2 linked regions of the Astyanax mexicanus genome follow. The protein of the gene in region 2 interacts with the protein of the main gene of each other region in a pairwise test. Links are inferred from orthologs where the notes say so. Each region holds a gene or a part of one and is shown on either strand. Other genes may lie near its edges.

Evidence for each region.
Region 1: the proteins of zinc fingers and homeoboxes protein 1 (region 2) and zmynd11 interact in a two-hybrid assay, tested with the Homo sapiens proteins (2 studies listed by BioGRID and IntAct). The link is inferred for Astyanax mexicanus from reciprocal best matches to the Homo sapiens genes ZHX1 and ZMYND11.

Annotation. Positions count from the first base shown.
Region 1 is NC_064408.1:101,788,449-101,793,865, forward strand, and holds the start of zmynd11 (zinc finger MYND domain-containing protein 11), read right to left. Parts: upstream 3,229-5,417; 5' UTR 3,109-3,228; intron 2,701-3,108; coding exon of another isoform or gene 2,647-2,700; exon of another isoform or gene 2,310-2,646; intron 1-2,309. Other genes in the region: vipr2 (vasoactive intestinal polypeptide receptor 2), read left to right, coding at 2,647-2,700. UniProt on the Homo sapiens protein: Chromatin reader that specifically recognizes and binds histone H3.3 trimethylated at 'Lys-36' (H3.3K36me3) and regulates RNA polymerase II elongation. Does not bind other histone H3 subtypes (H3.1 or H3.2).
Region 2 is NC_064408.1:112,363,465-112,368,881, reverse strand, and holds the start of zinc fingers and homeoboxes protein 1, read left to right. Parts: upstream 1-1,562; 5' UTR 1,563-1,781; intron 1,782-1,805; exon of another isoform or gene 1,806-1,868; 5' UTR 1,869-2,095; exon of another isoform or gene 2,096-2,376; intron 2,377-3,725; 5' UTR 3,726-3,811; coding exon 3,812-3,977; intron 3,978-4,560; coding exon 4,561-5,417. UniProt on the Homo sapiens protein: Acts as a transcriptional repressor. Increases DNMT3B-mediated repressive transcriptional activity when DNMT3B is tethered to DNA. May link molecule between DNMT3B and other co-repressor proteins.

The sequences.
Region 1 (5,417 bases), about 11 Mb from region 2:
AGTAGTATGGTGAAATATCATTACTATAGATATATAATGCCTAAGACCTTGCTGGTTTAACTTCTTTTTCATCTTGCTTAATTTTTACAGATACTAAACTGCAAGATGATGAGTATTAGTGTAATGATTTCATGGCAGAATCAAAATCAAACAACATGAATTAAATTAAATTAAAATTAAATGATGTTTAACACTATCACAGTTACACATCTCGACACTTCTCAGGGTCTGATTTGTGCTTTTTTTGTAAAAACCTTATAATGTTAGGTCTGAATTGCCCAAATAATGTCTGTGTAAATAATAATGTTAATATTTCAGTACTTCTACATACTTTAGCTGAAATGTAGTAAAGTAGGTTTTCTGATGTGCATGTGGTATGGTAAAAGGCATTGAGGTGAAACTGTCCTTTAGATACTGATTTACTTGTATGTGTTGTCTTTTAGTTTTCTGTTTCATCATTTATAACTCCAAACCTAAAAAAGTACATTACAGAACGGCAAATGCAACTAAAACAGCTAATATTTTGAACACAATATTTTATTGTGATTTTCATTTATTTTCAGACAGTATGAATGCAATATATTTCATATTTTGTCTGATCAATTTCATTTTATTTATTAATATACATCTATTTCTCCATATTGAGTATAAATATTTCAAATAAGTTGGGAAAGGAGCAATTATGGGCCAGTAATCCTGACATACACAAACTAATTAATGATTTAATGAATTCAAACAGGGTATATCATGCTTTATTCAGCAGTAGTTGCCAAAATATGAGCAAGGGAGTACTTTGCCAAACGTCTTTCAACTGCTGCATTACAGACTTACATTACAAAAGACCACTTTAAATTTATGAGATGGTCACCATGTCCAGAAGTGGCATAGACCTTTCTGAGTTTGGAGGTACCTACGACAGACCATCACAGTGAAAGCATGAATTGTGCTCAGACAAAGCAGTATTTCAGATCTTTTTTTGTGAGAAAATTAAGTTGTGAGCTCCAGACCAAAGTGAAAAAGTACCATACAGACTGATAAGAGCAACAAGTGAAAAAATATGGTATGTGGTTGTGTCACTACACATATGTGTTGCAGCCTGAATGCATTAAAGTACACTGAGATCTTGGAGCAACATGTGCAGCCTTCAAGATTACATAATTTCCGTCCATGTGTTTTTCAATAAAACAATGCAAAACCACATACTGCACAGGAAGACATGGCTGTGATAGAAGAGGGTACATGTAATGGACTGGCCTGCCTGCAGTGTTGACACAGAATGTTACCTTGTACTATTGCACTTGCACTTAAGACTAGTTTGCAGAAAGAATGGGACAAAATAACACCTGAAACAGCTTTTTTTTATGAATGCATGAGTTGATGTATGTTAAAAAAACGCAACTATAAAATTTTATAGTTTTAATGTATTGCAATTATAATAAAAAAAACAAAATCTGAAATATTGGGTCAAACTGTCTACAAAAGAAACGCAGCTGTGCTCTTCTTTTATGATATTTTGTTGGGCATGACTATTTGCTTGCTCCCAGGTACAAGTAGCTTTTGCATGACAGGGAGGCTAAATTTACCCCTTAAAAACCTAAAACTTTGCAATGCAGTACACCCTAATGACTGGGAACATTTTATTTGCTGTTAAAATATAGCTAAGTGCCTAGAGCCCAGGACTTACATTAGTGTGGTTGTAAAGCAATGCGAATCCTCTTTTATTCTGTGAACTTTAGAATAAAGATAATTCATACCGGAAAATAAGTTCATAGATATTGAAATTGTATTCAAACAAATCTAGTATTTGGGTTTATGTAAGAAAAAGACAGATATTCTAGTTGCTAAATTGTGAAAATAATATGTAGTTTTAAAAATTTAATTTGCCAATATTATCATTATTAAGCAAAAAAATCTCAATTTTTCATTTTTACGTCATTTGAATATGGCAGTTGGTCTTGAAATTGTGCCAAAATGTCATAATAAATGGATCAAAAGACATTACTAAATTTGAAACAAATTATTTTTACATTGACTTTCCTTATAAAGACTTTTAATACTGCTACACACACTGTTACTTAGATCTGTATGTAATTAGTACAGACTGCTGCATACACCTGGGTGCAAATAGCTTGTGCTTGATTTTGTTTAGTAATAAAATTGTATTTGTAGTGGACTTTCTTGATACAACCCATTTTATATACTGTTTAAGGCATTATTTAAACAAATATGAGATATTAACATTACATTTGATGGATAAAGTGTAATTTCCAGTATAATTCAGCTGGGTAGGCTGCTGCTGGTTACTGTATTTGCTGAGAGAACAAGTTATAAGCTCTCAGCATTGCTAAACAACCTAACGAAAGGAGGAGCAGCTTAGAGGAGCCCTTCACTGAATCAGCTGTCCTCTCTCTCTCTCTCTTTCTCTCACTCAGTTGACAGCCAAGCTCGTCATACCAACATCGAGGGGTCACTCCTGGGAACGCTGTTCTCTTTTAACGGATACTTTATGGGCTTATTGTGTGTCATTTAAAATGACTGGGTTTTTTGATACACACGTTGGGATTTACTGAGAATTTAACGAGTTAACCTACTGAAGTAGTTGATGTGGGTCGACCAGGAGCTGCTGAGGAGAACTAACGTTAAGACATGCATCGCCTTCACTGCTACCTTCTTCTCTTCATAGTTTGGCTCTCGTGCTCGGTAAGCTAAAATACGTTAATTACTACAAATATTTCGATATTTGTTATGTTTAAAATTGTTTTAACAAGCTTTTTAGCAACCTTTCACGTATATTTTACAGGAGGGAGTGGAGTGAAGTTAGTTTTTAGTCGTATAAGCGCGTATTTCTCGCATTTTAAACCTAAATTTAATGCTAACGCTAAATAAACTGCAGCCGTTAATTTTCAAAAAAGTCAATTGTGTAAATTTGAGTTTGTGCCGTTAGCCTGTAAATATCTATCCACCGTCTCCTCGGCACTTTCTCTCAGCTGTGCCCCCGTTTCCTTCTGCTGTCTACACTGTGAGTACTTTCACTAGCTAGTAGTCTAGCTCTGTAACCACAACCAAATTAACTACCTTTTAAACACAATAAAGGAAACCACTACAAACCCCCGGGGCGCTGCTAGGAACCGGGTCATGGCTGTTGTGGTGGAGAAGGAGCGAAAGAATGCCGCTGTGTCTAAAAGGCGGTGATTCAGGTGTTTGGACATCGCCTTTTCCTCCCCCGCCCGTATTCCTACAATTCCCGCCTTATTCCAGTTATGATTGGCTAAAAAGCCATGCCGAAAAAACTTTGTCCAATCCAAGCGCAGGTGGTTTGACACGACTAGCCAATCGCAGAGCAGATAGGCGCGATTTGTCGGAATACGGGTGGTTAAAACCAAAACGCGGTCGACAGTGGGCGCCTGTAGTTTAGAGATATTATAGTTACATAGGTTAGCCAAATGCAGACATATACCCGCTCCTTTAGTCTGTCTGTTTTATTGAAAATAAATCACAAATATGACTGTCTACAGTGAGCACAGAAGTTTTAAGTGTAATATATTTGTAATTTACGTTAAATTATCTATTAAATTACGTTAAATTATCTAAGTTGTATGTTAAATTTCATTTGGTCATTATTTTTTCCGCTCTTGTCTGAGAACAAATCTGAAAATATGTGTATTTGTTGTATCTTGAAAAAGTGAATTATTGAATTTTCTTTGATTGAGTAGGATACAAAAGAAAAATATTATTATTATTATTATTATTATTATTATTATTATTATCATTATTATTATCTGCCCACTGTAGTTTATTTTAATACAACATTGGCTACACAAAGTTGTATTTTTAATATCAGGACATATTGGATCATTGATGTCTGGCGATGAATGGCATAACCCATTATGGCACAGATTTTATTTATTTTTTGGAACTAAAGTAATAACCGCCACTGTTTTAGCACTATTTCCAACAAAAGTGGTCTAGCTGCATAATGTTGTCAGTTTTATTAAATAAACAAAAATCTAAATGTGAATTTTGGACAAAAAAGTGTGATGGTGCTATATATATATATATATATATATATATATATATATATATATATATATATATATATATATATATATATATATATGTTACAGAACATCAAAATATTGCAAAATCCGATGTTTCTTTTAGGCAAAAACAAAGTCTTCAGCATTTTCCTTTTCAGACTAAACATTTTTATTATTTGGATATGAATGGGTTAACCCATTTTGCTCACACTGGTTTTCAGAACGTGTTGGACAAGGCCTTTTGTCTGTTGTCTGGATGTGTCCTGGAAGTTTGCATGGCTAGGCATGTCTTTCTTTGACGCAGGTGAAACAACACATATAGTGTAAGATTATAAAAAAATTAAGTCTATGACACCATGCACAGACTGCAGAGCAGGCATAACAGCATATACAATAATACAGGTCTGTGCATCCAAGCTCTTTCCTTAAAGTCATTAATCTGGGAGATATGTATGTTTTGCTTGTACAAACATCGTATATCATTAGAAAGACACAAAGAATAAGTGAAAAGTGATAAAAATAAGCTTGATCTGCTTCCAGATTTCTCTGAATGATTCTATGAACGAAAACATGAATTTGATAAGTTCTATACTGGGACAACTGATCCAATGTAGTTAAGTAATGATGAGCCAGGTATTGGACTGTAGATATTGAGCTGCCAAAGATACAGGATTGGAAACGTTTAAAGGAACATACCAGCACGCTTACAGTAAAAGCACAGCTTTTTCATTATAATATTAGTATTTTACTGAACACATAAACCGTAAATAGCCATTTTAACTGCTTTTTGATATACATTTCTCAGAATACATGCCTAAAACATGACATACTATTGTATTGCATGTTACAAATTGGGGGTGTAAGTAAAGTCACTTAGAGAACACTGTTGAAAAACCTGATACAGTATGTGCACAAAAGTATTTGGACACAGGGCAATTTATTGTTTCATCCAAAATCAAATGTATTTGTTGGAGGAACTGCTGCTATGGTCCACGGGAGACCTCCAATCAGGAGGTCAGCAATCAGGTGTTACAATGTCAGGGTGTTGTCTGATCACCACCCTACCTCTTCCTTAACTTCCCAGCTCATTCCAAAAGCATTGGATTGAGAACTGGCTATAGAATAGAGTACTATTCTACTGGTAATACTTCCCTACAGGCACTAGACAAGCTCTGTGTGTTCATCTGTGTCAGCAAAGGGTGCAACTTAAAGTAGCTCAATGCATTTATTAGTAGGGGTGTGCATAAACAGTTAGACATTTAATGTGTATATAGGCCTAATGGCAATAATGCAGTGCCATATTAAGTATTTAAAGAATACTTGTTGACATTATGAAAGCAGACATGTCCTCAGTTTCTCCAACTCCATGATTAACACCAA
Region 2 (5,417 bases):
AACATGAGCAGCAGCATCAGCTTGTTATTGAGGGGAATTGTCTGCTGGCTATGATGGAAATGTGTTTTGATAATTCTAACCTATTTGGTCAACGCACATACCATGTTGAACATCTTTGTTTTTTGAAGTTCCTATGTTGCCACTCTTCAGAGAAGATGCAAAGAGGAGAAAAACTTATAATTGGTCACCTTAACCTTTTCTAATAATTGGATTCACCTGTGTATGTGGGTCAAGGGTCAATAAGCTTACCAAACAAATTTTGTGTTCCAATAATTAGTGCTAAATGTATTCAGATCAATAACATGACAAGGGTGCCACATTTATTCACCTGCCTAATTTTGTTTAAAGAATTATTGCACATGTTCTGTAAATCCTATAAACATTATTTAACTTCTCAAATATCAGTGTTCGTCTGCTAAATGATATATTTAACTGAAATTGCTGATCAGAACAACCAATGATTTATAAAGAAAATTAAAAATGATCAGGGGAGCTCACTTTTTCATACCACTCTAAATACACAATGGTGTGAAAAAGTATTTGCCCCCTACAGATTTCTTTTGTTTCTGCTTTTTTTGTTATGCTGATAATTTTCAGATTATCAAACAAACTTTAATATTAGACAGAGATAAATAGTAAATATAAACAACACTTTTTAAATGATAATTTCATTTATAAAAGGAGAAAAATATTCAAACCAATCTAGCACTGTGTGAAAAAGTGTTTGCCCTCTAAACCTAATAACCTACCTGTGCCACACTTGGAGGCAACAACAAAAATCAGGTTTTATCAATAACTACGAATGAGCCTTTCACATTTCTGTGGAGGAATTTTGTTCCACTCTTCTTTACAGAATTGTTTTTGTTCCACTCTTCACAAGGGTTTTTGAGCATGAACATCCTGTTTAAGATCTTGCCACAGCATCCCAATCAGACTTTGACTAGGCCATTCCAAAACCTTAAAATAAAATATATCTATAATTTGCTTTACTCACCTGATGTTTTGCAATTTCCTTTTTCATTTGTAAACAGCAGTTTCCAATCTGCTAAAGTAGTAAAAAGATTTTTTTATGACCCTTTGAACTTGGCATTCAAAAAATAGTTAAAGGAGAATAAATAGCCTGTTTTGTATATTTCGAGTTGCCCTAACTTCAGATTATCAAGTAGTCTTTTGAAGCTGACACCACATTATGAAAATAGAACTGTTAGACTGTGAATAGCCTAAAACAGGAAATATAACAGTATTATTTATTTTTATTATTACCCTCTGAACTTGGCATTTGAGAAATTTTGAATGAGAACAGATAGCCTGTTCTGCAGATTTCCAGTAGCTCTAACTCCAGATAATAAACTAGTCTGCTAAAGTTGAGCACAGTTGAACGAGGAATATTACTGTATATATTTTTTTTCAATTATGATTCTCAGAACTTGGCATTTGAGAGATTTTGAATGAGAACTAATTGCCTGTTCTGCATATTGCCAGCTGTCCTAACTCCAGATTATGAAACAGTCTGTTAATAAATCTAAATAAGACGCTGGCGAAGGTGTGTAGGATTAGCTAAAAACTCAGTAACATCAGTAAAATGAATCCTGTCTAATGTATTCCAGTGTATTGCTCTCTTTGCTGCTCGTTTGAGATGCGAGAGGCGGCGAGTCACGTGATCACGCCGGGTCTCGCCAAGAGCGCTGGTCGCTACGTTTTTAGGTGAAGATCGGAAGTTTCCAGCAGTTAAACCGCTGGATTGGGAGCTCGGCTGGCGGACTGAGCGGCGGCTCGGACTAGTAGGTGACCTTACGTGGTTTTTGGCTTGGTTTCCGTGCGCGTTTGAGGCTAATAAGCGCTGTTTTTCTCTCAATTTCCCCCCAAAGTTACGGCGGGGAGTCGCCTGGGTATGACGTAAACGCGTAACTGGCTCGCTACACAGTGACAGCGGAGAGACGGCTGATCATCGGAAAAATGGGGGCAAATTCGTTTTAACGCGGATTTTAAGGGGCTTTGAAGGCTCGGACCCGCATCTGTCAGCAGCTTAGAGTTTAGTACAGAGGCTGAGCCCAGCATCTGGACACAGACATCCCGCGTTTTGAGGCGAGAGGAGGTAAAAACGCCGCCCCCCTCCCTCCTTTCCTCTCTTCCTAGCTAGCTAACAACCTCCGCCGCCTCCTTCTTCTCCTCGGTTAGCCAGTCAGCTATGTTAAGCTAGCTGACTAGCTAAATAGCAGCCTCCTGCCCCACATTTAAAGCTCTTACTTCGTTAAAAACACCAACACACAGGTGGCCATCCGACCTGTAGCCCAGCCAACGTGCTCAGTAAGCCCTAAGGGCGGCTAGCGCTCGCTCTGGAGGCTCTCTCCGGCTCCACAGCTGCTGCTGGCCCCGGTAAGTTAACGTAACGTCCAGCCGCTGCAGCACACTCCGCGATCAAAAAGCGAACAACACGTTAGTAACGTCTACATTAAGTTTCTGTAGACGTGTAGGCCTGTCCACACTGCTTATAAGCTCGAAACTACCCGTTACCGTAAAGCAAAACAACCTGTAACATCTTAAAAGCTGAAGTTGACTACTTGTTCGAATTATCCGTTCCACCTTAAATAGCGCAGCTGTCACAGTGAGGGCACCTGAGCCTCAGTGATGCTGTGCTTCTGCACCAGTTAAGGTGGAATTGTGATATTGGATATGTCTGTTTTTATTAAAGCTGCGACTAATTATTTATTTTGGTAGTCGACTAATCTGATGATTTTTTTTCAATTAGTCAACTAATATTTCTGCCATGTCCTCCGTCTCTAAAAATGATAGAAATTGCTGAACATGAGATTTAAAAGTTATTTATCTGAATGTTGTTTAAACATGTAAAGTACTAATGTTTAGTGAGTAAATATGTAATCTGTGTGTTTGGGCACTTTTGGAACCACAGACTAAGTTCTGTCCCCAGCACTTTGTGTAATACGGTACAGTTACAAATTAACCATTAGTCGACAATAATATTTGTAGACACATTGTCAATAATGTTGACTAATCGTTGTATCCCTAGTTTTTAATACACTGCCTGGCCAAAAAAAGTCTCCACCTGGATTTAACTAAGCAAATGATCAGTAGTATCTGCAGCAGTTGGTCAGGTCTGGTTTTAGCAACAGTATGTGCTGAAAGAATGAGGTCAGCTGACTACCTAAATATACTGAATATAGAGCAGGTTATTCCATCATTGAATTTTTCTTCCCTGATTGCACGGGTATATTCCAAGATAACAATTCCAGGATTCATGGGGCTGGAATTGTGAAAGAGTGCTTCAAGGAGAATGAGATCATCATTTTCACACATCCATTTTTACAAAATCCTAACAATGTATGGCACTGTGTTTTCTGTACTAAGAGCTTATCATAAAATTACAAGCATGTATGATCAGATATTTAAAAAACATGCTACATTTAGGCATTGGCATTTCTTGTCAGCAGTGTTGTATCTATCCTCTGATCACACCCATGGCCCATTCCCCAGTCCTGTTTCCATACCCCAGGTTGCCAGGTATGGAGGACAGTAGCAGGCAAGCACACAACATACTGCAGCATAATTGCATAAAGCTTCATGTACATGTACATGTACATTACATGTATGTGTTAAGTAGATCTTAAACCTATTTTAACCATTCACATCAAGTATATTTTGAACAGATTGTTTATTATGTTCCATTATAAACTAACAAACTAATTACCTTTACTTTTTTTTTTCAGTCTAGCATGTGAATGTCTGAAGTGGCCTAAGTGCCAAGAAACTACAGTCTTCAACACCTCTCAAAGCCTCTCTGGTGCCACCAACAATGTCAAGCAGAAGGAAGTCCACCACCCCCTGCATGGTGCTACCCTCAGATGTGGTGGAGCAGGATCCAGACATTGAAACTCTGGCAGGGGAGGAAGGAGCCGAGACTGCTGCAGAAAGCCCTGCAGAAGGAGCGGCAGTTCCTATGGAAACTGAGGGAGGTGAGGGTTGGTATCCTTAATTCAAGCCTCTGTTAGGGTTAGATTTTTGTTTTTATCAATTTTGGCCTTAATTGAGTTGGTACCTTGACATAGTAGACGCTAGTTATGTTTCAAAGTTAGGGAAGGCCCTCAGTAGAACTGTCCTGTAAATACTCATTTTCAGTAGCATGTTGGTTACACACATGGAAATGCTGAACATAAGTTAAGACAAAATAATCTACACCAAACAATGTGATTTATTTTTAAGCAGTGGTGACTGACATAGTCACTGCGAAGGTTCACTGCAAAAGCCATGCCATTTGACATAATACTAGTTCCTGTTCCATGACATTTGGCATTTGAGTGTATGTATGAGACATAATGAAAAATCAGTAATTTCATTATAAATAATATAATATATTTCCTTAAAAGATGTAGGTAACAGTCTACACATCTGTATCTTAAATAGTTTAATGGCACAAGGTATCCAGATTTGATTTGATAGTTCGGGCCTCTCTAAACATCTTGTCATTATATCATTATAAGCTTGCTTATTATTGATGTTCACATGTTAAATGTCATGAAATATTTTACTGTTTTTACTTTCCAGATCATGAGGACAGTGTAAGCCATTCTGCAGGGAAACGCCCCAGTCAAACCACTGTGGAACAGTCAGCCACCGATCTAACCACTGATGCAAGTTTTGCACAGCCTGAGACCGAGGAGAGTGAAGACCCTTCAGTTACTGCGATCTCCTTGAGCAAGACGCCTATCATGAAAAAGAAAAGCAAGCCTGAATCCAAGAGAATAGCCGTGTCTCTCAAAGGCACTGATGAAAGCGATGCGTTGGTTGAAAGTGAGGGGGATCCAGAACCAATGGAGGCATCTGTTTTGGGTGCCTCCATCACAGCCGACATGATGAATCCAGTATCTTCTGAGTCAGCAAAGCCTGGTTTGCTTGTAAGCATTCCTAATCCAGTGTCCAGTGAGCAAAAGAAGCCAGTTTTGAACCCTGCTGCGGTGCTCCCTGCTGGTCTGGCTCAAGTCCTGTCAGCCCTACAGGCACAGCAGAGTGCGCAAGCTCAGCTCCTGATTCCACTGAGCAGCATTCCCACCTACAACGCAGCCATGGACTCCAATGCCCTGCTGGTGAACACTTACAAGAAGTTTCCTTACCCTTCAGCATCTGAAATCATGGGTCTGGCAGCACAGACCAAGTTCAGCGAGGAACAGATAAAGATCTGGTTCTCAGCTCAGCGTTTGAAGCATGGTGTAAGCTGGACACCAGAGGAAGTTGAGGAAGCAAGAAGGAAGCAATTCAATGGCACGGTCCACACAGTGCCTCAGACCATAACAGTCATTCCAGCCCACCATCTTTCTGCTACCAATGGTCTACAGTCTATCCTTCAGACTTGCCAAATTGTCGGCCAGCCAGGCCTGGTCCTAACGCAGGTCGGCACTGCGAAC